Linked DNA regions of Macaca mulatta. The protein of the gene in region 1 interacts with the protein of each later gene in a pairwise test. Links are inferred from orthologs where the notes say so. Each region holds a gene or a part of one and is shown in the gene's direction. Other genes may lie near its edges.

Region 1 (3,500 bases):
TCTGTCACATGCCAACCTGGCCTCCCTGTGTCCCAGATCGCATTATTAAACCCCCCAGCGCATTAGAGCAAGCCTCAGTTAAGGCGCAGGCCACATCGTGAACTAAGCAGGGTCCGTGAGTGGGGCCCACCCAACTCCATCTCCCCGTCCCCGCCTGAACTCTCCTCCCACACTCATCCTCACTGTCCAGCTAGCCAAAGCTTCAGCTGGGTCTAACAGAGAAGCATGGTGTGTTGGCCTTAGTGTCAGGCAGACCTGGCTTCACACCCCTGACCCTCCACTTCATCCCATCACCCAGGCAGCCGATCCACCTATCTCCTTCCATAACATGGGAATACCAAAACCAGGCTCACAGGATTGGTCTCAAAGATTTAATAAGATATGTTGCAAAATACACTCCCTAGTACCTCACAGCAAGGTGCACACTCGATGAACGCTGCAGCTTCTTCCCTGTTTCCTCAGAAGCTATTTGCATCCCATGTAGGGGCTTTCAAGCATCAAAGGATGGTTCATGTTTTATTTTAAGGCACCCACATGCCATGAGGGAGGCAGCTATAATTCAGAGAACTAAGGGGGATTTCATTATAACAAAATTGGCAAACACACAGGCACCTGCTGGCAATAGAGCCCTGCTCCTATAGCCAAGAAGTGGAATAGCATCTCTGCGGGCCATTCTAATAGCCTCAAAATCTCTGCACCAGGGGGATGAAAGAATGCATTTGCCAAGCCCTACAGACTCCAACTTCTACCGTGCCCTGATGGATGAAGAAGACATGGACGACGTGGTGGATGCCGACGAGTACCTCATCCCACAGCAAGGCTTCTTCAGCAGCCCCTCCACGTCACGGACTCCCCTCCTGAGCTCTCTGGTATGAAACCTCTGTCTCTCTCAAGCTGTCTCTCAAATTGAACAAAATGAATGAATTTTAGGGAAAATAACAGCCATCTAGTGAAACTCACATGGAGATGAAGTCAATTTTAACCAAATGGTAAAATCAAAATAAATTAAATAAGTGTATTACTTTATTGCATTGCAACAACTTGATTGTAAGCCTTTTAGGTCCACTATGGAACAGAATTAAATCAAAACTAAACATAGTTGCTCTAAAACTAATGATTAAGACAAAAATTAAACACCTTCACGATATCCTCCATGAGGCACACCACTTGCATTCAGGAAAAGTGGATGAGATGCGGTACAAGCATTCCATGGGCAACTTCTCTGTTTCTTTTTCAGAGTGCAACTAGCAACAATTCCACTGTGGCTTGCATTGATAGAAATGGGGTATGTATGAACACCTTATAAGCCAGCATTTACAGCTCTGCACTACGACTCTATTATACATGGAAAATGCCTTAACCTAAATAATCTTAACCCAGATAATCTTGAGTTTTCTTCCTGTGTGGGTTTTTCCCCTGCATGGCTGTCACGCCTCACAGTGCCATTCAAAGCGTGGCTCCTGGACCAGTAGCAGCATCACCTGGCAGCTTGTTAGAAATGCCATTTTTCAGGCCACCGCCCCAGATTGACCAAATCAGGACCTCTGGGGGTGGCGCCCAGTAGTCTTTGTTTGAGCCACCTTCCAGGTAATGCTGATGCCTGTTGAAATGTGAGGCTCTGGTCTAGACCACACTGTGCCATGCAGAAACCACTAGCCACATGTGGCTACTTCAACTTAAATGTTAGTAAGTTTAAATGAAATGAAATATAAAATTCAGTTTCTCACACATATGAAGTGTCCAGTAGCCACACGTGCCTAGTGGCAACCGTATTGAAGAGCACCGCTCATAGCATACCTCCCTCACTGCAGAAAGTTCTGCTGGACAGCACCCAGCACAGCCCTGCTGCCCACCCTGCAGCCTGCGGCCCAGTAGCACGGGCACCCGCTAGGGTGCAGACTCTCAGGCCTGCCTGACCTACGAATCAGAACCTGCATCTCAAGGAGATTTCAGGTGATTTTTGCACACACTGAAGTTGGAGCAGCCCTGACTGGAGTAACCTTCCCTCATTTCCTCCTGCAGCTGCAAAGCTGTCCCATCAAGGAAGACAGCTTCTTACAGCGATACAGCTCAGACCCCACAGGCGCCTTGACTGAGGACAGCATAGACGACACCTTCCTCCCAGTGCCTGGTGAGTGGCTTGTCTGGAAACATTCCTGCTCCTCAGCCTCCTTGACCCACTCAGCAGCAGCCAGTCTCCACCACCCAGTGTCCAAGCCAGGTGCTCCCTCCAGCATCTCCAGAGGGGGAAACAGTGGCAGATTTGCAGACACAGTGAAGGGCGTAAGGAGCAGATAAACACATGATGGAGCCTGCACAAGCTCCTTGTTGTGTCTGGGTTGTTTGCTGTACCTCTGTTTTAAGAATGAATCTGCAAAATTTCCAGATTATGAAACAAACGACAGACATACGTGTGTGTGTGAGTATGTGCATGATGTGTGTACATCTGTGTATGTGTATGTGTGTGTGTGACAGATTTGATCCCTGTTCTCTCTGCTGGCTCTATCCTTGACCTGTGAAACATATATTTAACTAATTAAATATTAGTTAATATTAATAAATTTTAAGCTTTATCCAGACACTCACAACCTGCTAACACACACACATATATACACACACATACACATACACACACATATACACACACCACACACATACACAGACCACACACACCATACACAGACACATACACATGCACACACATATACACACACATACACCACACACACACATACATGTATACACACTTACACCACACATATACCACACATACCACAAAAACCCCACACACATACACACACATATACACACAGACACCACACACACGTATACACACACATATATACACACACACACACCACACATACACACCACACACACGTACACACGCCACACACATACACCACAGACATGTACACACACCACATACATGTATGTGTGCACACATACACACCCACACCACACACACACCACACATACATACACACATACCACACACCACAAAAACCCCACACACATACATATACACACCACACACACCACACATACACACACCACACATGTACACTTACCCACACCATAGACACACACGTACACACACCACATACACATATGTACACACACACCCACACCACACACAAACACATACCACACTTACATACCCACAAAGACACATACACACCACACACACCATACATACACATGTACACACACACCACATATACACACACATACACACCACACATGCACATACCACACACATACAAACATACACCACACACACAGCACACATACACACTCATATACACACACCAGACACACATACCACATACACACCACACATACATGTACACATGCATGCACACACACACACACACACACACACACACACTGTCCTCAAAGCAGGCTATCCTCTGAGAACTTTAAATTTACAAAAGACACACGTGTCCATTACTTTGAGAAGTGCAGGAAAGAACCCACTTTCTTTTGCAGCAACAGCA
Region 2 (3,500 bases), on another chromosome or scaffold:
TGGCACAATCACAGCTCACTGCAGTCTCTAATTCCTGAGTTCAAATGATCCTTCCCACTCAGCCTCCTGAGTAGCTGGGACTACAGGCATGCACCACCTCACCCAGGAAATGTCTTAGTTTTTTGTAGAGATGGGGTCTCACCATGTTTCCCAGGCTTGTCTCCAACTCTGGGCCTCAAGCAATCCTCCCTTCTGGGCCTCTCAAAGTGTGAAATTACAGGGATGAGTCACAGCACCTGGCCTTAAAATGTTTTTAATTATATTTTTAAGATGTAATTTACATAGGCATTGTCAGTGGCCATATATTTCATTCTTTTCCAGTGGCCTAATTTACTGACCAATCTTCCTTAGGTTGTTTACCTTTTCAATTCTTTTATGATTAATTTATTATGTTTTAGATATTTAATCAAATAATTAAATTTTTAATTTTAGAAATTTAATTACAATATTTTTAATGCACTTAGGTGGTTTACCTTTTTGATTCTCATAATCAAAGTAATACCTCAGTAAACCTTATGGATGAAGATTTAACACCTCCCCCTCCACCAAACTCCTTTCTTCCGGAACACCATCCCGGGCCTCTGTTCCACATTCTCCTCCTACAAAAAGTGGCCTCCATAGGGCAGCCCTCCTTCCACACATCTTCCACCCCCAGGGCCAGCATCAGCTGAGCCCATAATGGTGACAGTCTTCTCCCCTGCAGGAACCCCCACAGGAAAAGAATCCATTGTGCAAGTCCACATTGAAGTTTTGGATGAGAATGACAATGCCCCGGAGTTTGCCCAGCCCTACCAGCCCAAAGTGTGTGAGAATGCTGCCCATGGCCAGGTGAGTCTGGTTCAGGTGGGAGGGGAAGGCAGCACCACCCTGGGGCAGGCTGAGGGGCAGAACTGCTCAACAGAGTCAGCAAGAGTTCCCCTGTACAATAGCCTTGAGGAAAATAACATTATGCCCATTGTACAGGTAGAGAAACTGAGGCTCAGAGAGAATGTATGGGGAGTATATTGGCAGGGCAGGGGAGTAGAAAGAGTGGCTTTATGAAGAACTAAATAGGTGAGTGTTGCAGGTGGGAAACAGCCATGGTCAGGTCTAAACCCAAGGGCTCCATCGCTAAACCTCAGACCACCCCACCACCATCACTGACTATCTCCTGTCTTCCACACCCCAGCTGGTCCTGCAGATCTCCGCAATAGACAAGGACATAACACCACGAAATGTAAAGTTCAAATTCACCCTGAATACTGAGAACAACTTTACCCTCACGGATAATCACGGTAGGCATCAAAGTAATCAGTTCAGACATGCGTGTAGTGCCAGCTACTCAGAAGGCTGAGGCAGGAAGACCACTTGAGCTCAGGAGTTTGAGGCTGCAGTGAGCTATGATTATATCACTGCACTCCAGCCTGGGCAATGGAGCGAGACCTCGTCTCCAAAAAAGAACAAATGCAGTCAGTTGGCACTAACAGGGTCGGGGTGAGGTTGAGTCTTGAGGCACCAAGGTCAAAGACCAGGCCAGCAAATTGAGGGCAGGCTCCCACTGGGATTTTCAAATCATTAGATATTTTGTACAATTCCTGCCACGTACATTGTACAATTGGTCTGTGCAATGATCAGAGACACTCCATCCAAACTCCCAAGTCCACATCGCCTGCAAGGAGCCAGCAAGGAGTACAGAACAGATGTGGGGATGCAGGCAGTCAGCTCTGTTGAAGAACTAGCCAAGGAGTCCTCTCCCACACTGGAGGCTCTCTGTGTCAGCAAAACTGCAAATTAAACATGGAACTTTGAGGTCACTCCCAAAGAGTCAAAACTGGAAATATGAAGTCCTAAATCCCAAGGATACAGTGAGCTTTGTTTTAATTCAGCTACAATGACTACTCACGATTAGCAGGGTGGCCGTGTGATGTCATTAGCAGCCAATCGGAGCTTCTGAGGAGCAGGTGCCGACTTGAATGATGATGCTGAGTTGACTTCATTCCAGCCACAAGTAGGCAAGCTTCCACGGCCTCTGAAATTTCCTCAGAAAAATAGAGAAAATTCCCCTTGGGTTCAAGCAGAGTGATCCTTCACCCAGCATGGGATGGAATTATTGCCTGTCCCTAATGGGCAAAACTATGGTGGATGAGGATGGCTGTATTGCAGCAGCCCATTGCTACCTTTGAGGAAGATTGGGGAGTGGGGTCCCTGAGAGTTGGAGGCAGACTTGAGGGATCAGCCACAGACCAGTCCTTAAGGAGACTCCTGTGGGATGGAGAAGGTGGCCCTGATGTGTTGACAAGTCAATGACAGACCATTCAACACCCAGTTGTCATTAGAATTAAATAATGTGGCAAAAATGTCACTCCCTCCCCAATGTCCACCTCAGTCCCATCTCAGAGTAGGGATCTGCAATACAGTAGAAAGATTCAGTGCCACCCCAAAGACACCCATATACAATAGGAGGCAAGCCTGCTGGTGTCAAATTCACTTATATCATGAACAACCTGCATGTCAAAATCTCTAGTTTCTCCCATAAGCATCAATGACATATAGTTTATTTGAAATATAATAGACTTAATGCTGAAATGTAATTATGAATAATGAAATATAGTTGGCTTTCATTCAAAATCTAAAAGATGGATTCCTGGGCTTTTCAATCCAGTGTGTGGAGCCTGTGTAGCTATGTAAATCCTGGAGCAGAGAGTCCCTGGATCCTTCTCTGATCATTGACATTACAACCTCCTGAGACCCTGCAAAAGGCAGATTATCTGGCCTCTGCCCAGAACCACTGAATAAGATGTGTGTGTGATCATAGGGGTCTGAAAAATCAGCGTGTTTTAAAAGCTCCCTGGGGGATTCTTGGGTACAGGAAATCACTGATTGGATCTGGGAAGGTGGGCGGGGCCAATATTTGGACAAAAGCATTTCCCAGTTCCAAACTGCCGAGGAAACCCACAATTCTATATGTAATCATTTTCTCTGTGCCCCGAGGGACATGCCCATTGTTTTCAACAATGTAACAATGGATTTTCAGAGATAGCTGAAGCTGCCTTAGAAGTTAACCTAATGCTAAAAGACTTTTTAAAACTTTATTTTTCCCCATTGCTTGTCAAAGCTTGAAACAGTGCACTCATTAATAGAGCTGAAAGAGAAAACCTGCTGATACTGGAGTGGGGTTAGAGAAGAGGAAGGGGACAGGCATCAGTTGCTCACAAATACAGAAAGCAAAGGATTTTACCTTCTTTCACCAAGGCATTCTCGGAGATTGGGTCAAAGCAGCAGCCCCAAAATATCCCCTCTATGGAGGAACAGGCCTGCACTCAGATGGCTGAAACAAGAGGTGCTGGGTGCAAAGGGCAGAAAAGCAGCCCAGGCAGCACGCGGGCTGGTGCAGTCAGGGAAGGCTTCCTGGAGGAGCCAAGTTTCCCCATCTGTGCAGATGGCAAAGCCCGACTCCGAGGCCTTGGTGTTTCCAGATAACACGGCCAACATCACAGTCAAGTACGGGCAGTTTGACCGGG
Region 3 (3,340 bases), on another chromosome or scaffold:
TAGCCAGGATGGTCTCAATCTCCTGACCTTGTGATCCACCCGCCTCGGCCTCCCTAAGTGCTGGGATTACAGGCGTGAGCCACCACACCTGGCCCGTTTTTGACTTTTACAAACAGCCGGGCGCGGTGGCTCAAGCCTGTAATCCCAGCACTTTACAATGCTGCTGTGCATATTCTTGCCTGTGTGCTTCTGAGGTAATGTGCCTGGGTAGAACTGCTGGGTTGTAAGGTACGTGCATGTTCAGCTCATCTAGTTAATGCCAAACTATTTCCAAGGTGGCTTGTACTAATTTCTCTTCCACCAGCAGGGTGGGAGGTCCTACTTCTCCACTTCCTTGCCAGCATCTTCTTGACAGTGTTTTTGCATCCTAACACATCTGCCACCTGAGTCTTTGTAAGAACAGCCAACGCTGAATGTTCATTCACACGGTGCCAGACCCTGTACTGAGGGCTCTGTGTGTGATTTGATTTCACCCTCACAAGACCCCCATCTATTATGAACATGTTATTGATGACCGAGAGAGCAAGTCTTTGTCTTGCTTCTGCCCAAGACACTTCCCTTCTGCCGGGGCCCCATGGCCATGTTGCCTATCTTCGTTTCCCAACCTGGGTGGGGCTGAGTCCCAGCAGGGCCTCAGCGCCACCCCTGGACCCTTTTCTCCTCAGGCTCTTACTCCCTGTCAGTCCGTCTCAGCCGCCCTGCATCCTGGGACCGAATCAGACACTACAGGATCCAGCGCCTTGACAATGGCTGGCTGTACATCTCACCGCGCCTCACCTTCCCCTCACTCCAGGCCCTGGTGGACCATTACTCTGGTATGGCCTTTCCCTGCCCCCAGGAGTAGGCTGGGATAGTCTGCAGGGAGGAGCAGGCAGTGGTGTCTTCGGATATTTTACCTGCTATGGAGTATTCAGACAGACAGAAGAGAGGCCTCCCCTATTTTCACACCAGTCCCCATGCCAAGAAATGCAGGCTGGAAGCCTTGTCTTCACCTCGTGCCCTAGCAGAAAAGCCACATACCTCCTGTGTAGGCTCCGGTCAGTACCTTGCCTACCACCCTGGTTCTGATTCAAAGCCCCTGGCAGCAGGCGGAGTTCTCTCCACAGGAACCGGACCCAGAGCTGCTGCTGTGTGGGATTCAATCCTGACTCTCCTTAGTACTTCCTGATGCCGGTCCTTCAACAGACACTGGAAGATGCAGTCACTGGGCACAGCGTCAGGGCGCAGAGAGGGAAGAGCACTCTCAGAAAACTCAGGGGTTTTCTGCAGGTCACTCCATGCAGGAGTAGACAGTAGTAGTAGACTGAGCAGTCCTTAGCTTTCTTCTTCCCAAAGCAATTTCCTAACCAGAAACTTGAGCTCAAGAGGTCCATGAACTCACCCTAAATCATACAGTGATTGTCTCCCAAAAGTTAGCCCAGAAAGACCTTTGACTGCATCTGTCTCCATGAAACCAACAGCTTGGGGCTCATGTCCTGTCACTCTTTTGTAACCATGCCCCCTCCTGCCAAGTGTGGGGGGCTGTCAGGATGAGGGCTGTTGGAGAGAAGTAGGGTGGAGTCGGCCATGTCAGGGATGGAGGTCTCTTCCTCAGAGCTGGCGGATGACATCTGCTGCCTCCTCAAGGAGCCCTGTGTCCTGCAGAGGGCTGGCCCGCTCCCTAGCAAGGATATACCCCTACCTGTGACTGTACAGAGGACACCACTCAACTGGAAAGAGCTGGACAGGTAAAGTCGGGGACTCCTGGAAACATGAAAGCAAGACCAAGAGTTAGAAGGACCCACCCCTGGGAACCACAACCCGAATGTACCTGTCACACTCAGGGACACCTGGCAGCTGGAGCCAGGGCACACTGACTCAACTCCTGGAGCACAGCCCAGGCTCGGCAGGTGGGGCTGGGAAGCTGATCTGATAGGGAACAGGGGAGCCCCATGAGGTCCTCATCAGGAGTGAGGGGTTTTGAGAACAGTGCATTTTTGTGTGTAGTGAGTGCAGGGAGGAGGAATAGGCTCCTTGACCCAATTCTCTTCCTTTGTCCACAGCTCCCTCCTGTTTTCTGAAGTTCCCACAGGGGAGGAGTCTCTTCTCAGTGAGGGTCTCCGGGAGTCCCTCAGCTCCTACATCAGCCTGAATGAGGAGGCTGTCTCTTTGGATGATGCCTAGGCCCAAAAGAGAGGCCAAAAGGGAAACCAAGATTGCACACCTAGAACCCCAATTCAGCCCAGCCACCTGAGCACCCCAGAGGCAAGGCTGTGCACTCAGTGAGGGAGGGCTGGGACACAGAGGTGCATCCAAGGTCCCACCTGTACCCTTGCTCTTTCCTCTCTTGGCCCTAAGTCGTCACCTACCTCCTCCCAGTGCCATGACCCCACCTGCGACCTCTAGTCCAAATGCAGAGAAGTTGGGACCAGGGCCAGGGTTCCAAAAAGAAAGTAAGCCTCCTGCGGGTCTGACCTAGTCAGTTCTTGAGTTTGTTTCCAGTACCATCTGGATGCCCTGCCTGCTGAGCCCCGTTCTACATCCCCCGTTAACCAGGCCCCGCCCACAAGGTAGAAACAACCCCTAGCTTCTGTGAGAAAATCATTTTCGGGAAATTGACAAGTCTCGTTGAGACCACCACCGTACCTCAGAAGATAGGACTGTGGCCTAGAAGGGAAAGGAAAACTGAGGAGATGATGTCTTACCATAGCAGCAGATCATAGGTGCTCCAGCCTCTACATGATCTCCAGAGCAATGAGAAAGACTTCTGACAGTCTAAGTCCTCAAATGTCCCCCATTGAGGACAACAGCCCCAGCTCTTTTTTTCTGAAACGGAGTCTTGCTCTGTTGCCCAGGCTGGAGTGCAATGGCGCGATCTCAGCTCACTGCAACCTCCGTCTCCTGGATTCAAACAATTCTCCTGCCTCAGCCTCCAGAATAGCTGGGATTACAGGTGCATACCACCATGCCTGGCTAATTTTTTTGTATTTTTAATAGAGATGGGGTTTCACCATGTTGTCCAGGCTGGTTTCGAACTCCTGACCTCAGGTGATCCACCCGCCTCGGCCTCTCAAAGTGCTGGGATTACAGGTGTAAGCGACCGCACCCAGCCTAGCTTTCAGATCTCTATTTCATTTTGTGGCTTACCATTCCCTAGCACACTGGCCTTGCCATCTTGTGGCCAAATACAAAATAACACCTCTTAAGTCTAGCACACTGCAGTGAGGCCAGGCACCTCAGTGCTGGGCAGGGGCATCAGAAGGTGCTAAGCCCTCTCTCCACAATGCCAAGACTGAGGCCACAGCCTACACCAAATCCAGCGCTTAATTTCCCTGCTGCCCTCATAAAGAGAAAGAGGTCT
Region 4 (3,500 bases), about 90 Mb from region 1:
GTACTATTCAGGAGAGGGTTTGTTATCTGAATATAAACATAGATTTAGAAATGTATTGTTGGCTTATACATTAAGATGGAAAGGAAATATTTTTGAATAATATCTTTAAGGCAGCAGTTTGTTTCTTGTTAATTTAATTAATCTTGTCCTGGACTTGCCAGTTTAATATCTTTTTTGTCTTTTACGATAATAAGTCATTCTAAGAAAGTAGGACTTTCTGGAGACAAAGATTCTTTGCTAAAGATTTATTACTGAGTTTTGCTAACTTTCTTTTCCAAGGTGTCTGATGGCCCAGAGTCTACACCACCAACACCTGCACCCACTTCAGGAATTGTGGGTGCATTAATGGAAGTGATGCAGAAAAGGAGCAAAGCCATTCATTCTTCAGGTAGAGAGAGAGAGAGAGAGTGAGACAGAGTGTGTGTGTGTTTAATAAATTTGAATGACATTCTGTTATTTTTATTTTATGACTGTCTTTGCTAGCTTTCTCTCTGCTAATTGAGTAACTACTGATATGGGCTCTAGGGTGTATTTTAAAAAGTTGTTGCCTCTGTGACTAGTCTGAGACTTACCAATGCAACACCACCACAGCCATAGCCATAAATTGAAAGAACAGCTTTGGGAATATTGACCGTTTTGTTTCCTATATCAGGAAATGCTGATAGACTTCCTAGCAAACAACCTCTAAACAAAGCTTGAGCTTTTTGGATCTTATTACTGTGACATAAAAGATTCAGGGCTGGGTGCAGTGACTCATGCCTGTAATCCCAGCAGTTTGGGAGGCCGAGACGGGTGGATCACCTGAGGTTGGGAGTTCAAGACCAGCCCAGCCAACATGGAGAAATTCCGTCTCTACTAAAAATACAAAAAAATTAGCCGGCGTGGTGGCACATGCCTGTAATTCCAGCTACTCGGGAGTCTGAGGCAGGAGAATCACTTGAACCCAGGAGGTGGAGGTCACGATGAGCCAGGATCGCACCATTGCACTCCAGCCTGGGCAACAAGAGCAAAACTTCGTCTCAAAAAAAAAAAATTAATTAAATATTAATAAAAATAATAATAAATCAGGCTATTTACCTCATCTGTGAGGATTAGGACTAAGAATTTTAAGTAATTTTTACTGTTTCTAGAGTTTGCTAAAGAATACTGACCTTTTTTAAACCTTTATCATTTTCTAAAAGGTTGATTTGAATAAACCAGTACCTATTCTGAGGTTATTGTTAAACATATACATACCACCATATAAATGAATATTGCTTTAAAGAAAGGACAAGAATATGAGTTTTGCTGATTGGAGTGGTTAAGGTTTGCTAAATAGCTTCTCTAACATAATGTGCTAGAAACAGACCTTTCTTCTTCTTAGATTTATTTAATCTCTGAGCCTCAGTTTCTTGTTTGTTACATTCAGAGAATTCACAAAGCATATAGATGTGAGAATTAAACAGTATATCACTAATCAGCAGATTGCCTAGCACATGGTAGGTGCTCAATAAATGTTATCTTCCTTTTGTTTCTCTGTAAGGATGTGCATGTCTTAAGATCCTTGAGCAATGTTTATTTTCCTTAAATAGGCATATTTGTTCCATTACAGAGATAGAGATAAATATTTATTGTGGAATAGTAATAAAATTTTGACAAAACAACAGAAGTCCCTTCCTTCATCGACATGCATTAGGTCTAATGAGAGAGAGAGAGACAAGCAGTAAACAAACTAGAAAAATGTATAGTATGTTAAATGGTGACATGAACTAAGGACAAAAGTCTAACAGAAAAGAGAAATAGGGAGCAGGCTGTTGAGAGAGAGAGAGAGGTTCATTTTGAAATGATAAAGAATGATAAGGGACGATAAAGCCTAACTGAGGTGACATTTAAGAAAAGACCAGCAGTTCAGGAAGTGAACCATGTAGAAAACTAGGGAAAGTGTATCCGATGGAAAGAACAGAAAATATAAAGTCTGTTAGGTTGAGAAACAATGAGGAGATCAGGGAGCTTGCAAGAGAGGGAGGGAAAGAATAGTAAGGAATGAAATACAAGAAGTCATTGGAGACCCCTTGAAGTACACTAGCTTTTATTCTGAATGTGATGGGAAGCCATTGGAGGGTTTTTAGCAGAGGTATAGTAATGATCCAAGCAAGAGATCATGGAGACTTGAACCAGGTTTATAGCACCAATGAGAAGTGGTTAAATATTAGTTATATTTTGAATGTGGAGATCACTGGGTTTGCTGATGGTTTGAAAATGAAAGTTGAAGAAAAATAAGAGTGCAAGATAACTCCAAGGTTTTTGACTTGAACAACTGGAAAGGGGAAAGACTTAGGAAGAAAAAGTTTGAAAGGGAAGATTAGGAGTTTGGTTTTACATATTAAATTTGAGATACCTGTTAATTCAACTATAGATCTGGAGTAGGCATTTGGTTATGAGTCTGGAAGTCACAGGAGAGGTCTGAATTGTTAAATTACACGTCAGTAGGATATACGTAGACACATGGTATTTAAAGTTAAGGTTATATCTATGGTATAGTCTTCTTTAGCAAACTCTAAAAACAGTGAAAATTGCCTAAATTCTTAGCCCTAATCCTCACAGATGAGGTAAACTGCCTGAATTTTTTATGTCATAGAATGTCACAGGAATGAGATTAAAAATCTCAAGCTTTTGTTTCGAGGTTGTTTGCTAGGAAGAGATAAAGAAAGGTCTTCATTCATTCATAAGAAATGTAAGGCTTCTGTGAGATACATGATTCTGAAAATGCATTTATTCTATGCTGGTATCTGTGAGTTCTGCTAATTATTTCCCTACAATACGTTTTGTTTTTTTTTTTTAATAATATATAATAGTCATGCTAATATAATGAAAATATAGGATGGTTTTTACTTATTTTCAGACCCATTTCTTTTAACCATTAGTATTTCTGTGGTAGTACCTTATGATGGAATTATTGGCTACATCTTCCTCTTCACCATAGATACTGATAAGTTTCTGTCTTTTGTCACTCTGTAATGCCAGCATAGTTGGGTGTCTTTGATGCTTTTCATCCAGATAAATTTTGTGAAGCATGTCTAGCATAAGCTAGTAGCAAATTATTTCCCTTGCTAGAAAGTAAACACAAAAATTAACATGAAGTCAGTTGAACTCCTTTCCAAATAAATTCTGTAACAATTTAGAGCTGACCATCAGACTTAAATAAATAAATAATTATTATTGTTGTAAAAGTAACAACTTAGTTTAGGGCTAAGAGAAAATAACGTTGCCTCTCTCAGGCTTCTGTTATTCAAGTTCTAATACTACAACTCCAGTACTACTTCAAATACTACCTTCACACAATCAATTTTATATGGAGAAAAATAGAAGAAAAAGATGGTTCTGTGTTCTGTACATGTAACCCACACATATGTCACACAGTCTTACTGGCTCTTTATCATTACCAAGTACATTACTCAGCTACTGTCTCACTTTATATACTTGGCCTTCATGGGTCCTGTATGTATAGATATATAAATGTA
Region 5 (3,972 bases), on another chromosome or scaffold:
GAGGTGGGCCACCCTGCCTACCCATCAGCCTTCCCCTGCCCCTCTGCCAAATCTGGACATAATTATAGTAATGATACTGCATATAAACAGTATAGGTAACTGCTTCTGAGCATGATTACAGGAGATGTTTACACACTCACAACAGCATCAGAGTAAATGATAGCTTCCTCCCTTAATACTTAGACCTTTCAGGGATAGTTAGCCAAATCTCAGCAGTGAGGGTGTGGGAAAGACCTTACAATTTCCCACTACCTGCAAAGCAGGAAGGCACCTCAGACAAAGCAGCGTCCCAGCCAAGATTTCACAGGACATCAAGAAGCCTGCAGAGAAGTGGGCTAACATCTACTGGGCACCTACTGTATGCAGGCACTTGGGGAGGCCAGCAAACAAGCAAGTTCTTTCAACCTATTAATTCTGCAGGCTGATATTAGTGTATCCTCACTTTACAGGTGGCCATGGAGCTAGGCATGGGCACTTTCCACGGTGCTACCCGGTCACATCAGCGGGCCAGCTCTGCCCTCTTCCTTTATCGCCTCTTCTCACTTCTCGCAGCTTCCCTTTCCTGGGCGGCTTCCTGCAGCCCTTGCTGGTCGCGGGTCTCCGCTCAGTTCCCCAGTGTCAAGGCCGTCTACTGCCCCCTCCACCCCTTCTTCCTGTCTCTGTTGGGTGACTGGGTGTTATCTCTCCAGTAGAAGGGGGTGGGGTGGGGTGGAATGGGGAAGGGTGGAGCACAGGGCGAAGGCCTTGCCAGGCATCCCGGGGTCTCCAGCTAGGCGAGCGGCCGCAGAGAGCGCGGCCTCGGGGTCGCCAGACCCTCGGCTTCCAACCACACGCACACACAAAGGCTGCCCCGGCATGCGCGGGAGAGCGCGCTCGCACCCACGGCCGTGCGCACACACGCACAACTGCACAAAGACGTGCACACTCCTCCATCCACACCAATACACTCCCAATAGGGCCCGCACACAGCCGTGCGCCCTCACGTACACCACACCACCACCACCATACAAACACACACACACTCACTCATACGGACTCGCACGCGGGTGGACCCCTCCCCCACCACAAACGCCGACCTTGGGGCCTTGACGCGTCCTGCAGCGCTGCCCCGGCTCGCTGGGCGGCGCGCGCACACGCAGACGCACGAGCGCGCGCACACACACACACACCCCGCGCGGTTCCACGCCCCTGACCGCGGCCCGGGCGCTGCGCTGCTCGGCGCGGCGGGAGGCGGGCGGGGACCGGGGGCGGGGGCGGGGGCGGGGGCGGGGGCGGGGGCGGCGGCGGCCGGGAGAGCGGAGAAGGCGGAGCAGGGAGCCGGGAGCGGGCTGGCCCGCGCTCCTCCTGCTGGCCGGGGATTTTCCAGCCTGGGTGCTGACGCCGCGGACCTCCCTGCGGCCGTCGCGGACCATGGGCGACAAAGGGACCCGGTGAGTGCAGGGCGGTCGCCCGGCGTGGGGCGTGTGGGGGCGACCTCGGCGAGGGCACGGGCGGGGGCTCCGATTGCGTCCTGGTTCTGTGTTCGCGGCCATCCCGGGATCTAGTACCAGCCCTCCTCCACCCGAGGTCTCCTGCGTGGTCTCCCCGGCAGGGCCGTGGGCGAGGGGGACCCAAAGGGCGAGGGCCGGGCCGCCCCATGTGGGCCGCGGCTCCTGGCCCGGACACACTCACAGCTTGCTGATACCCAGCATTGGCCGGCAGCCGCAGAAACGCGCGGGGGCAGGTTGACACACAATACACGCACGGGCACACTAACCCGTGGCACAGGCATGCTGGCGCACACACTGGCAGCCACTGGCACACGCTCATCACACACAGTGGCACGCCGTCATACACGCCTCGGTCAACACATTCTTGCTTACAGCCTTGTTGGCATGAACAGCTCACACTCCAACACACACCAATTCTAACACACCCTCGTGCTAGCACACACGTGTGGGCATACACTGATACGCAAACTGTCACCTGCACTCGCTGTAGCAAACACTCTTGCTGGTACACACATCACCCTCACTAGCACACACACTTGTGCTGGCATGTCTCACCAACACAGTGGAGCGCAAGGCCACACCAACACTGACCCCCACAGACACAATCAGACTAATGCTTGCAAAGACTGGCACCCCGCAGGCACGAGCTGCTAGCCGGAGGCCCGCTGACACACACGTTCCAGGCCCCACATGGCCAGAAGTGGAAACACACATCACACGGGGTAGAACGCTCCCCACTGCCCCCAGCCTGGGGAAAACAGATCCCATCCCATCCGAATAGATCGCATCCATCTACTCTGTTCCCTTTCCCTCTGACCTCCTGAGGAGTGGCTGGCCAGGGGCTGTTTTGAACCTAGGGCTGGGAGAACCCCTCCCGTTCTAGAACCTGGCCTGAAATACTCAGAAAGAAACGGTCTATGCCTCTGAAAGGGGAAAGTGGGACAGAAGGAGGAGGGGGCTGGAGCAGGACAGCCCCTGGGGGCAGCCCTTCAGACAGGACCAGCCCTTCAGACAGGACCAGCCCTGGTCAAGGGCTCAGCATTGCCACCCTATTTTCCCCGTTGCCCTCCCCACCCAAGTGGGCACAGCAGCCTCTTCCTGGGCTCCCCCTCTTTCTCATTGTTTTCTGTCTTTCTCCTCTCCTATTCTTGTGCCTGACTTCTGCCTCCTCCCTTTCCTCCCCTCTCCTCTCCTCGGTTCCATTTATTATTAAGCTCTTGCTGTATACTAGGCATAGTGTGGGTAATCAAAGATGCGCAAGGCCCACTCCTCTGAAGGAGCTAACAGACTAGAGAGACACACCCCAGTGGGCACCACCTTTCAGGGCCACTGACAAAGCCATTTCTCACGTACTGCCATCTGAGACTCTCTCTCAACAGTGTGAGAAAGGGCTTCCAGAGATTATTTCTATTTTCTAGAGGAGGAAACTGAGGCTCAGAGGCAACTTAGGCTCTTAATGTTTAGAAATTACTTTCCAGCCATCCTCCTGACAGCTCTTCCAGGAGGTTAATTTTCCTCTTCCTGTTTTCTAGCAGAGGAACCAGAGAGCTGGAGAGGTCATGTGATTTGCCTAAGGTCAAAAGAGGCCAGAGGCAGGGCAGAGGCTGGAGTCCACTTGGTCATGTCTCTGTGGATGGCCCTAGGGCACTACCAGGCCCCACATGGGCCAGGGAGGGGTGCCCTGCTCTGTGCTGGAGGCCCAGGCTTTGGGGGAGACAGCAGAAGATCATGCTGTGTCTGCATGCATCTTGATGGCTAGTCCCCATTGCAGCTGGCTGGCCAGCACTGTGACCTAGGCCTCTGTCCTCAGTAGGAAGGTATGTGACTCCCTCCCCAGCCACATCCATCTTGACCCATGAGGTCAGGCTTTTCTTCCTGCAGGGTATAGCAGGGAGTTGGAGCCATTCTCCACTCCTCCTGTCCTTCCTAGGCTGCCTTGTGATTGGGGTAACTCAGCCTCTCTTGGGTCTCTCTGTACCTCTCTGTGACTTGGGGGATAAGTGTCATTGCTGTCCTGCTGACATGATTGTCAGGAAGATGTGGACACCATGGGCTTCCAGGCACCTGTTGGAGACCCTGTCTCTGAGGCCAAGATATTTTCCATGACTCCCCCTGCCCTGCCTTGAACTCACTGCTGGACCGTTGGGACACTGGGCAATTGCCTTTACTTTTCCGGACCTTAGTTTCCCATCTGTAAACTGGAGCTATCAATACTTAACATTTTAAGGCTTCTCTTGTACTTACTGACTTCACTGGGCAGGGGAAGAGGCACTGCCTGAAGCCTGGAGCCAAGGCCCAGCTAAATCCACCTGATAGTGGCCCTGACCTCCCCCTCAGACTCTCCTGCAGCCCCATGAGGGCTTTCTGTCCCTTTCCAGACAGTTTGCTAAGTAATTTGGAAAAGAAGGGCAAAATCGGTAATGGGCTGTACCTTGTCTTTTTCCGTAAGCCATGAGATTCTACTTTATCTATGACTTAGAGG
Region 6 (4,004 bases), on another chromosome or scaffold:
AGTATATAGCAAGCAGGCTGTCAATGAATATTGGCCTCCATCTTTTTTTATGGAGAAAGACAACTATTTATGCATATTATGACGACTATAGCTTAACCATGAGCTCAACAAACACAAAAATTCACAGAAAATTCTGCGATACCGTATCTATTTTAAACCACATTATTGAATGTAACTAGTGAAACCTCAGGTCAAATAGAATGTATTTAAGGAGACACAAACTTGACATTAACTCTAAATACCAGAGTATTGAAGATTTGATAGTTGTCTCTTCTTACAAATATATCCCTCATAATAAAAAAGCACTCCACTAATATGCCAATTATGATACATCTTCCAGTTGTGTTTTGTCCTTGAGCGAAAAATCTTGCTGCTCAATTCAAGTCATTCGTTTATTCATAACACCCATATATATATCTCCAACTCTGGAGAGAAACACTGACAGAAAGATGGAAAATTTTAGAGCCCTCATTTCCACTTCAGAGAGCCTGTTGTCCCCTAAACCTCTTGGGCCCTCGGGCATTTTTAAACTTATCAAGATTCCAGAATGAGGTTAATGGGACGTCACAAAACGAACCCCCCACCGTCCCGTCCCAGGGGCTCCAAGCCAGGACCCCAGCCTGAGGGAGCCTCCGGGCAGGAGAAAGAGGCCCAGGAAGCCATTGCTCCGTTCCTTCCCGGCTGTTTACGTGGCACTCAAAGTACTCGGCCAAGGGCACGGCGACCCCGCAACACCCTCGGCGTGGGGCAAAGACAGCGGGGTTGCGGGGCTCCTGTCTGCCGGGAGCGTCGAGAGTTCCTGCCCCCCCGCCCGCCTCATGCACGGAAAGCCCCGAGCCACGGCGTGCGGCGCTGGCCGAGCGTGAACCGGAGTCGGGTTCGGCTCCCCCGAGCGGCTGTGCGGGCCGCGGAGCGCTTCCTGTGGGGCGGCCACGCAGGGTGCGGGCCATGGCCCGGGGCGCCTGTCCGGATCCCGCCGCCGCGCGGGACGCAGCCCCCGTCCTCGACCCAGGGCGCCCGGCGGCGGCGGCAGCGACTGCCCGGGGCGGCGGCGCGGCGCGGCGCAGCGCGGGGGCGGCCAGGAGGCGAGGAGGCCGGGCCGCGGCCGAGGGCCCAGGGCGCGCTTCCGCCGGGCGCCGCGCGCGCCGCGGTAAAAGGGAGGCTCGGCCGGCAGGGGCGGGGGCCGCGCAGCCGGGGACTTTCAGGAACTGCAGGAGCGGGCGGCGCGGGAGTAGCCGAGCGCCCAGCGGCTGGGCCTGAGCGTCGAGACTCGGGGCCGAGGCGGAGGAGCGGCCGCCGCGCCGGGGCCCAGCCGGAGCCGCCGCCCTCGCCCTTGCCTTCGTCCGCGCGGCTCAGAATCACCATCCGCGGCGCGGGAGACAAGCCGGCCGTCCCGGGCCGGGGGACCCGCCCGCCATGGCCACCAAGGTGAGGGGCGCGCAGCGCAGGCCCGGCCGGTCGCTCAGGCCCGCGGCGGCGCGGGGACGGTCGGGGCTGGGGCCGCGGGGAGGGTTGGGGCCGGGGGCGGCCGAGGGGCCACTCTGCGTCCTCGGTGGGGTCCCCGGGCGGGTCCGCGGCCCAGCCAGTCCCTTCTGGGCATGGGTGCGGCGGACCGTGCAGACGGCCGGGATCGCGCCGGGGGAGGGCGTCGGGTCTGGGCGCGGGTTGGGACCCCGGGTGCAGCGACGTTTGGGAAGTTTGCACCTGAGCTTGGGCTGCGGCGGGCTCGCCGGGAGGGGCCGCGAGAGCGGGACGGAAACTTCCCGCAGCCCGGGGAGGCCCCCGAGGCGACAGGCTCTCTGTGGCGTCCGGTGTCCCCGCGGCGTCTGGCGTCCCCGCCGCCCCCACGTCCCCTCCCGCTGCCGCCCAGGGGACCCTCGGCCCCGTGGGGCGGGTGGGGGTCGAGACCTCAGCAGAGAGGACGCTGCGCTTCCCGTCCCGGCCTGCGGGAGCTCGCGGCCGGGGAGAGACAGAGGCTGGGACACCCCGCGCCCCTCTGCCTTCTCTGCTGTTATTTTTTTCTTTTGTTTTGCTACCTGCTCAGTGTGAATGGTATTGCCGGCATGAATAAAATATCAAGAGGGAAATGACTGTGCTTTCGATTACGTGTTTGCCTAAAAAAGGCCCAGGCCCGAATTACGTGGTGGAACTTTGACTCCTGCTTGGTAATTGGCTAGGAGCGGTGGTTTGCTTGTTTTGCATTATTGTTTATGAAATTAGCAGTCACTCTTTGCTACCTGAATCTTCAAAAGCCACCCTCCCCCACTCCTTTTCCTTGGGCGTTTTCAGTAGTTACTTGGTGTAAAATAGTCACTGGGGAGTCATGGTCGCGGAAGGAGGACCTGGGGGAGGAGGCTCTGTACCTGAACCATTAACTGTTCTGTGATACGCTGTGAGGAGTAGGTTTACTTTTGCACTTAGTTTTTGTAGTGTCACTTTATTAGCATCAGCACCCCTTTCCCTATTTTTTTTTTTTTTTTTTGAGATCTCTGACTACTTTTGGGTTGCTAGAAACGTTATTTTTTATATTTCGATAGCTATTTGCTTTTTTTGGTGGAGTGTTAAGGTAGGAAATGGTAAGAAATGTGAAATCTGTTTAAAAGATCAGCGTTGCTTGACTTCGGTCTGCTAGATGTCCTGTGGTAAATTTTGTGCTCTGAATCCATCTAGGTGCAGCGTTTATAGAGAAGTGGGGATTCTCCTCCAGGGAACCTGTTGCTGCTGTTACTGAAATAATTACCTTCTTGTTAATATATTATTGCCTGTGCTGTGCTTTGGTTTTATTAATGTGATAGAACTTGCCACCTTTTGAACTTATTAATTTTGTGTTGACCTTTTTAAAAATAAAACTTAGGCCAAGGATTTCTAAGGAAATTTGATTTTGAGGTTTGTTGCCAGACACTCCAGAAATTACCAGTTACACATCCTAGTACACGCTCATCTTGCAACCTTAACAGCGGTTTATAGGCTGGGCGCGGCGGCTCACTCCCACCTGTAATTCCAGCACTTTGGGAGGCCGCGGTGGGCGGTTCACCTGAGGTCGGAGCTCCATACAGCCTGGCCAATATGGTGAAACTCCGTCTCTACTAAAAATACAAAAATTAGCTGGGCGTGGTGGCGCGCGCCTGTAGCCCCAGCTGCTCCGGGAGGCCGAGGCAGGAGAATCGCTTGAACCCGGGAGGCGGAGGTTGCAGTGAGCCAAGATGGCGTCGCTGCACTCCGGCCTGGGCTACAGAGCGAGGAGACTCCGTTTGAAAAAAAAAAAAAAAACCAAGGCGGTGTATGACATAGAGATCTGTCCAGTGGTGGTCTGTGTGTTTTTACACTCTGGTCTACTGAGGCATGTTACCTGTACTGTCCTTTAAGTGGAATGCAGTTTAGCAACTAGTGCAGGTATACGTAGTGAAATTTTTATTTCATAGTTAAGCCTGAACTTAATTTTTTTTTTCAAAAAATTGAAAAGTGGTTCTTGTATATTAATCTTGAATTGCATGTGTCTTTGCTTAAACACGAGCCTTAAAACATGCATAAGCACTTCCTACTTCGTTATCTACACCACTCCGAAGGCAAATTCCAGTAATTCTGTTAGTTTCTTTCGCTGTCTAATCACTGTTCCACATGGTGCTCATTTCCATGTCTACATTGTGACAGACCATTTCCATTTTAAGAAAAAGAAGAGCAATGAAGCAGTTGTTAGAAGAAGACCCTTCCTTAGTTTTCTGACATCCTGGTGATACTTGGGTCAAACCAAAGTCTCATTTTTTAATTGTCCCCAGAGAGACAAGTTGCTACTTTCCTCACTTGCCCCATATACACACCCCTTCCCCACACCTGAGTAGTTCTGTTTTTTTTCTTCGTCTTCTTCAAGGGGTGGGGAGAATGTGCTTAGTAGTAATGACTAATTTTTAATAAATGGCTCCAGTGGCACTCAGGCTGTTGCTGTAAGTATTAAGTGATGAAAAGTAAATTCAGGATCTGGATATTTTAGGGGATGTTCATTTCCC
Region 7 (4,101 bases), on another chromosome or scaffold:
TTTTACCTGAGATATCTATGAGAAAAAGAGGAAAAGAACAAACCACCAAATGTAGCATAAATTGAGCCATAATGCTGTGAGAGTTTACACTTGTGCACTTTAATGGAAACATCATATATTATTTTGTTGGGTTTCACGAAGAATGAAAATGAGCCACTATGGAAGTTACCAGAACCAATTTTCCTTCCATCAGGTGGGAAATTTCTTATGGAATGTGTTCTGTAATAGTTGCTGATCCAATAATCTTTTCATTTCATAGGTCTAGTTCCTTGTTTTGTTGTTCAACTAGTTTCCATGTCAAAGATCTATGCGTATCAAAATTTATGCATAACTGATCTATATTACAATTTATATATACAGTTCTATGTAACTGACTCTATTTAAAAGAATTAATGTAGATAGGATTTTTAATGTCAATGCTTTCATTGAATGTCATAATGATCAAATTTTTGGCATTACCTTTGTTCAAAATTTTTAGCCAATCTGGAACTTTATTACTTCTATATTTCTTATAACAACAAGCTATATCTAGGAACAAAAGTCTTTTGTTTTTGAAGGCAAAAAAAATATAAATAGAAAGTCATTCGGCACTGTGTAATGTTAAAATTTACAAATATTATGTTATTTCTCCATTGTCACAAGAATTCTAGTGGATAGACAACTTAGATAATGCCCCTATATACAAAAGTAAAAACAGCTAGGCATGGTGGCTCACACCTGTAATTCCAACTCTTAGGGAGGCAGAGGCAGGAGGATAGCTTGAGCCCAGGAGTTTGAGACCTGCCTGGGCAATATAACAAGAACCCATTCTCCACTAAACGGGAGGGAAAAAAGACAACAAAACAAAAGTAAAAACAGGTTCAGGAAAATTAAATATGTCCCTAAAGTCACAGAATAATAAGTGGAGGTGGAATTCAAATGTAAAATTTTGTTTGTTTAGTTTTGAAGGTAACATACTTTTTTTAGTCTACAACCTATTTAACTACAAAAGTGTGCCAATCAGTGGTATTAGGATTGGGGCAGATGTATACTCTGAAAATAAAAGTGCAAAATAAATATACCATCTGGAAATAAAAGTGCAAAATACAGAGGGGGGAAAAAATCAGTCCTTCCATTTATTTTCCTTTGTAATGCCAGTCGAGTTGGTTTAGTGAGTAGTTTTGCAAGACTTGTTTCACTTTGTTTTTGGACATAGCTGAGCCACGTACTTCAAACAGAAGGCAGCCAATTACTAACTTCTGGTTGCTAGGTGTGGCTTCCTTTCAAATCCTATAAAATCAGGAGCCCAAGTCTCCACCGCTAGTGTGAAATCTTCAGAGAAGAATTTCCCCTTAGTTCTTTGCAAGAAGGTAGAGATAAAGGTAAGTCTTGGTTTTCCTTTTAGTTAGTTTTGGTTGTTTTGAAAACTTTTCTCATCACTATGTTAAATGTTACTGCTTCTACAGGATTTATGGTTAGTTGCATTTAACATGATAAGTCATTCACAAATCTTTCTGTAGAATTACATTGGATATTTATATTTTAGGAATCACAAATTACAATGTTTTTCTTCTTCTTAGTTAACAAATACAAGTAAAAATATGATAAGTTTGCTTAATACTGGCTCATTGTACTCTTGGTAAGCTACCATGAGAAAGAAGGAAAGAATGTGCTTTTCCTTTGGTAGCCTTTAAAGAATGTGTTTTTCCTTTTCTTCCCCTTGAAATATTTCTTCCCAAGAGCTGTGTGTGTTTTACGGAGAAATCATGATGGGGGCTGCTTTTTGGGGGCAAGAACAAAAGTGATAAGAGTGAGCTGCAGGGAACTGTTTCAAAATAGTAGGACTTTCATAATTTATTTTCCTCTTTTGTAAGGAAAACAAGATAGATCAGACCTCAAAGTGATAATCATGCCCTTTGTAATAAACATTTTTAAATATATGTTATGTTTGCTCGTGCTATTTAAATTAAAAATATATGTTATGTTTGCTCGTGCTATTTAAAATAAGAAGGTCCGCTTATTACTTGTTTCATTTAAAGAGGGTGTGGTCACATTCCTTTTCTTGGAGGCTCTGTGTCATATACAGGCTTTTCAAATGCTGGCTGGAAAACCTAAGAAGGGAAATACTTACTGGGTAGTGTCAGATACATTAGCCTAAGGGAATGTTAGTAAGGCCCTCTAACAGCTATTCCACTTGAGTGTTGCATGAGCTAATGGCCATAAAACTCCTTAGAAAAGCGCAAAGCAAAACTAAAGAAGAGTATTTACTGGTGTTGGATATATTTGTAAAAGTGAGATTACAAATCATGACCATATATCTGGGTATTTTTTCTTAAACATATTCCTTCAAAGATTTTTCTGTTTTTTCATTTTAAATGTTTATTAAATGTTCTGATTTCTTATGTTCACTGCTAGTTAATTAACAAGGATGAGATTTTTCCTGCCTCGATTATGTCTAAAAGATTGTATAAACTTTGAAAAAGCAATGTTACCCCCTTTCCACAGGAGTATTTTGGTAGCTGTGAGAGAGTGCACTTTGCAAATGACTCAAATGTGGTAAAATGTTGGTTTCATAATTCTGAAATGGCCTCTTCCCCAAAAGTGACATTACCACCCTAGCTCCAGGCTCAACCACATCTGGCACATAGTCAGCATTTAACAGATGTTGACAAAATACTTAAGAATAATATTATTAAGGAACCAACCAGAGTTTCAGGCTTATTAAATACTTTTTCAACCAAAATGTCTGCAAAGGTTGATTTCTGAAGATGACATTAGCTCTCTCTAGGCCTATTAATTTATGACATTTAAAATAAGAGCTAAACCAGTGGAATATTTTCAATGATAAACTATAAACAGTTTTTTGAAGTCAACTATTTCCTTTTCCTTTAAAGTTGGAGAGAATTTCATCAGGAAGCTCAGAACAGATCCAATTTACACAATACCCTCCTTCATTATGCTAGTTTTCTTCATCTTCATCCACTTGAAGTAAAATTTAAGATTGGCACTTCAGAGCTGTAAATGGATCTTAGATACTAATTACTTCAACATTTTTATTTTATAAACGAAGACCCTCTGGAGAAGCTAAATGTTTTTCTTGAGGTCAGATCGCCAGATAATCAAGAACTAGTACACTTCAATTTGTATTTTATATCCTATAGTTGTGGGGAGAAAATGTTTGTTAAATTAGTGTAGATATGTTTTTAAAAATATTAGCAATGATACATGATACTCATTCAATAATACTTATTAACATCCAGAATTCCAGGCATTTTGCTAGGTATTGGAAGTACATACATAATGAATATTATTATGTTAGCACGGGCCTCATGGCCTGCTCCTGGGGAATATAAATAAACCAATGGAAAGTGATAATACAGAATGGTGGGGCTGGTGTAGGGGTGAAGTCAGGATGCTATGGGAGAGCATGGAAGGTCACCTAATCCAAGACTGAGGAACGAATGAAGGGTTTCTGAAGAACATGATGAGGTCAATGCTGACGCCTCACTTAGGAGTAGCTATTAGTTAGGCAAAGAGAACTGAATGTGGAGAAGGAACAAGTATTCCAGGCAAGAAGAACACCCTATCGAAAAGCTCGGAAGCAAAACATTAGTGAGGCTACCTTTCATAAATTGCTTTTTGTAAATCATGCCATTGTGTAGTCTTAATTGCCTTCTCTCATCAGGAAAGGTGTGGGAAGGACTTGTGAAATATATATTCGAGGAAAAACTATGCACAAGGCATGCATTTAAAAATAAACTCTCTAAGGCTGGGTGAAACTTGCCATGGTCTGCACAAGTTGACTGTTAATGAATTTGATTCTCAGGTGTGAGTTATTAAAAAGAACACTGATCATGTCATTTTCTTTTTGGTCACTAATTTAAAAGAATAACATCCTTCCCTCCTTCCTTCCTTCCTTCCCTCCTTCCCTCCTCCCCTCCTCTCTCCTTCCTTCCTTCCTTCCTTCCTTCCTTCCTTCTTCCCTTCCCTTCCCTTCCCTTCCCTTCCCTCTTTCTTTCTTTCTTTCTTTCTTTCTTTCTTTCTTTCCTTCCTTCCTTCCTTCCTTCCTTCCTTCCTTCCTTCCTTCCTTCCTTCCTTCCTTCCTTCCTTCCTTCCTTCCTT

What was found.
Region 2: the proteins of EGFR (region 1) and CDH5 interact in a two-hybrid assay, tested with the Homo sapiens proteins (2 studies listed by BioGRID, with this or other methods). The link is inferred for Macaca mulatta from reciprocal best matches to the Homo sapiens genes EGFR and CDH5.
Region 3: the proteins of EGFR (region 1) and SLA2 interact in a protein complementation assay, tested with the Homo sapiens proteins (3 studies listed by BioGRID and IntAct, with this or other methods). The link is inferred for Macaca mulatta from reciprocal best matches to the Homo sapiens genes EGFR and SLA2.
Region 4: the proteins of EGFR (region 1) and WASL interact in a protein complementation assay, tested with the Homo sapiens proteins (3 studies listed by BioGRID and IntAct, with this or other methods). The link is inferred for Macaca mulatta from reciprocal best matches to the Homo sapiens genes EGFR and WASL.
Region 5: the proteins of EGFR (region 1) and ARRB1 interact in a protein complementation assay, tested with the Homo sapiens proteins (3 studies listed by BioGRID and IntAct, with this or other methods). The link is inferred for Macaca mulatta from reciprocal best matches to the Homo sapiens genes EGFR and ARRB1.
Region 6: the proteins of EGFR (region 1) and SNX9 interact in a protein complementation assay, tested with the Homo sapiens proteins (3 studies listed by BioGRID and IntAct, with this or other methods). The link is inferred for Macaca mulatta from reciprocal best matches to the Homo sapiens genes EGFR and SNX9.
Region 7: the proteins of EGFR (region 1) and ANXA1 interact in binary tests that used the Homo sapiens proteins (3 or more experiments, as listed by UniProt). The link is inferred for Macaca mulatta from reciprocal best matches to the Homo sapiens genes EGFR and ANXA1.

The regions. Positions count from the first base shown.
Region 1 is NC_133408.1:73,282,415-73,285,914, reverse strand, and holds part of EGFR (epidermal growth factor receptor), read left to right. Parts: intron 1-701; coding exon 702-869; intron 870-1,237; coding exon 1,238-1,285; intron 1,286-2,022; coding exon 2,023-2,131; intron 2,132-3,500. UniProt on the Homo sapiens protein: Receptor tyrosine kinase binding ligands of the EGF family and activating several signaling cascades to convert extracellular cues into appropriate cellular responses.
Region 2 is NC_133425.1:61,923,656-61,927,155, forward strand, and holds part of CDH5 (cadherin-5), read left to right. Parts: intron 1-703; coding exon 704-828; intron 829-1,168; coding exon 1,169-1,274; intron 1,275-3,455; coding exon 3,456-3,500. UniProt on the Homo sapiens protein: Cadherins are calcium-dependent cell adhesion proteins. They preferentially interact with themselves in a homophilic manner in connecting cells; cadherins may thus contribute to the sorting of heterogeneous cell types.
Region 3 is NC_133415.1:89,470,549-89,473,888, reverse strand, and holds the end of SLA2 (src-like-adapter 2), read left to right. Parts: exon of another isoform or gene 1-60; intron 61-156; exon of another isoform or gene 157-665; coding exon 666-815; exon of another isoform or gene 816-1,594; coding exon 1,595-1,727; exon of another isoform or gene 1,728-1,743; intron 1,744-2,042; coding exon 2,043-2,163; 3' UTR 2,164-2,840; downstream 2,841-3,340. UniProt on the Homo sapiens protein: Adapter protein, which negatively regulates T-cell receptor (TCR) signaling. Inhibits T-cell antigen-receptor induced activation of nuclear factor of activated T-cells.
Region 4 is NC_133408.1:163,488,482-163,491,981, reverse strand, and holds part of WASL (actin nucleation-promoting factor WASL), read left to right. Parts: intron 1-279; coding exon 280-388; intron 389-3,500. UniProt on the Homo sapiens protein: Regulates actin polymerization by stimulating the actin-nucleating activity of the Arp2/3 complex. Involved in various processes, such as mitosis and cytokinesis, via its role in the regulation of actin polymerization.
Region 5 is NC_133419.1:75,743,723-75,747,694, reverse strand, and holds the start of ARRB1 (beta-arrestin-1), read left to right. Parts: upstream 1-1,172; 5' UTR 1,173-1,410; coding exon of another isoform or gene 1,411-1,430; exon of another isoform or gene 1,431-1,461; intron 1,462-3,972. UniProt on the Homo sapiens protein: Functions in regulating agonist-mediated G-protein coupled receptor (GPCR) signaling by mediating both receptor desensitization and resensitization processes.
Region 6 is NC_133409.1:76,689,599-76,693,602, forward strand, and holds the start of SNX9 (sorting nexin-9), read left to right. Parts: upstream 1-1,204; 5' UTR 1,205-1,416; coding exon 1,417-1,428; intron 1,429-4,004. UniProt on the Homo sapiens protein: Involved in endocytosis and intracellular vesicle trafficking, both during interphase and at the end of mitosis. Required for efficient progress through mitosis and cytokinesis. Required for normal formation of the cleavage furrow at the end of mitosis.
Region 7 is NC_133420.1:104,165,722-104,169,822, forward strand, and holds the start of ANXA1 (annexin A1), read left to right. Parts: upstream 1-1,301; 5' UTR 1,302-1,361; intron 1,362-4,101. UniProt on the Homo sapiens protein: Plays important roles in the innate immune response as effector of glucocorticoid-mediated responses and regulator of the inflammatory process. Has anti-inflammatory activity.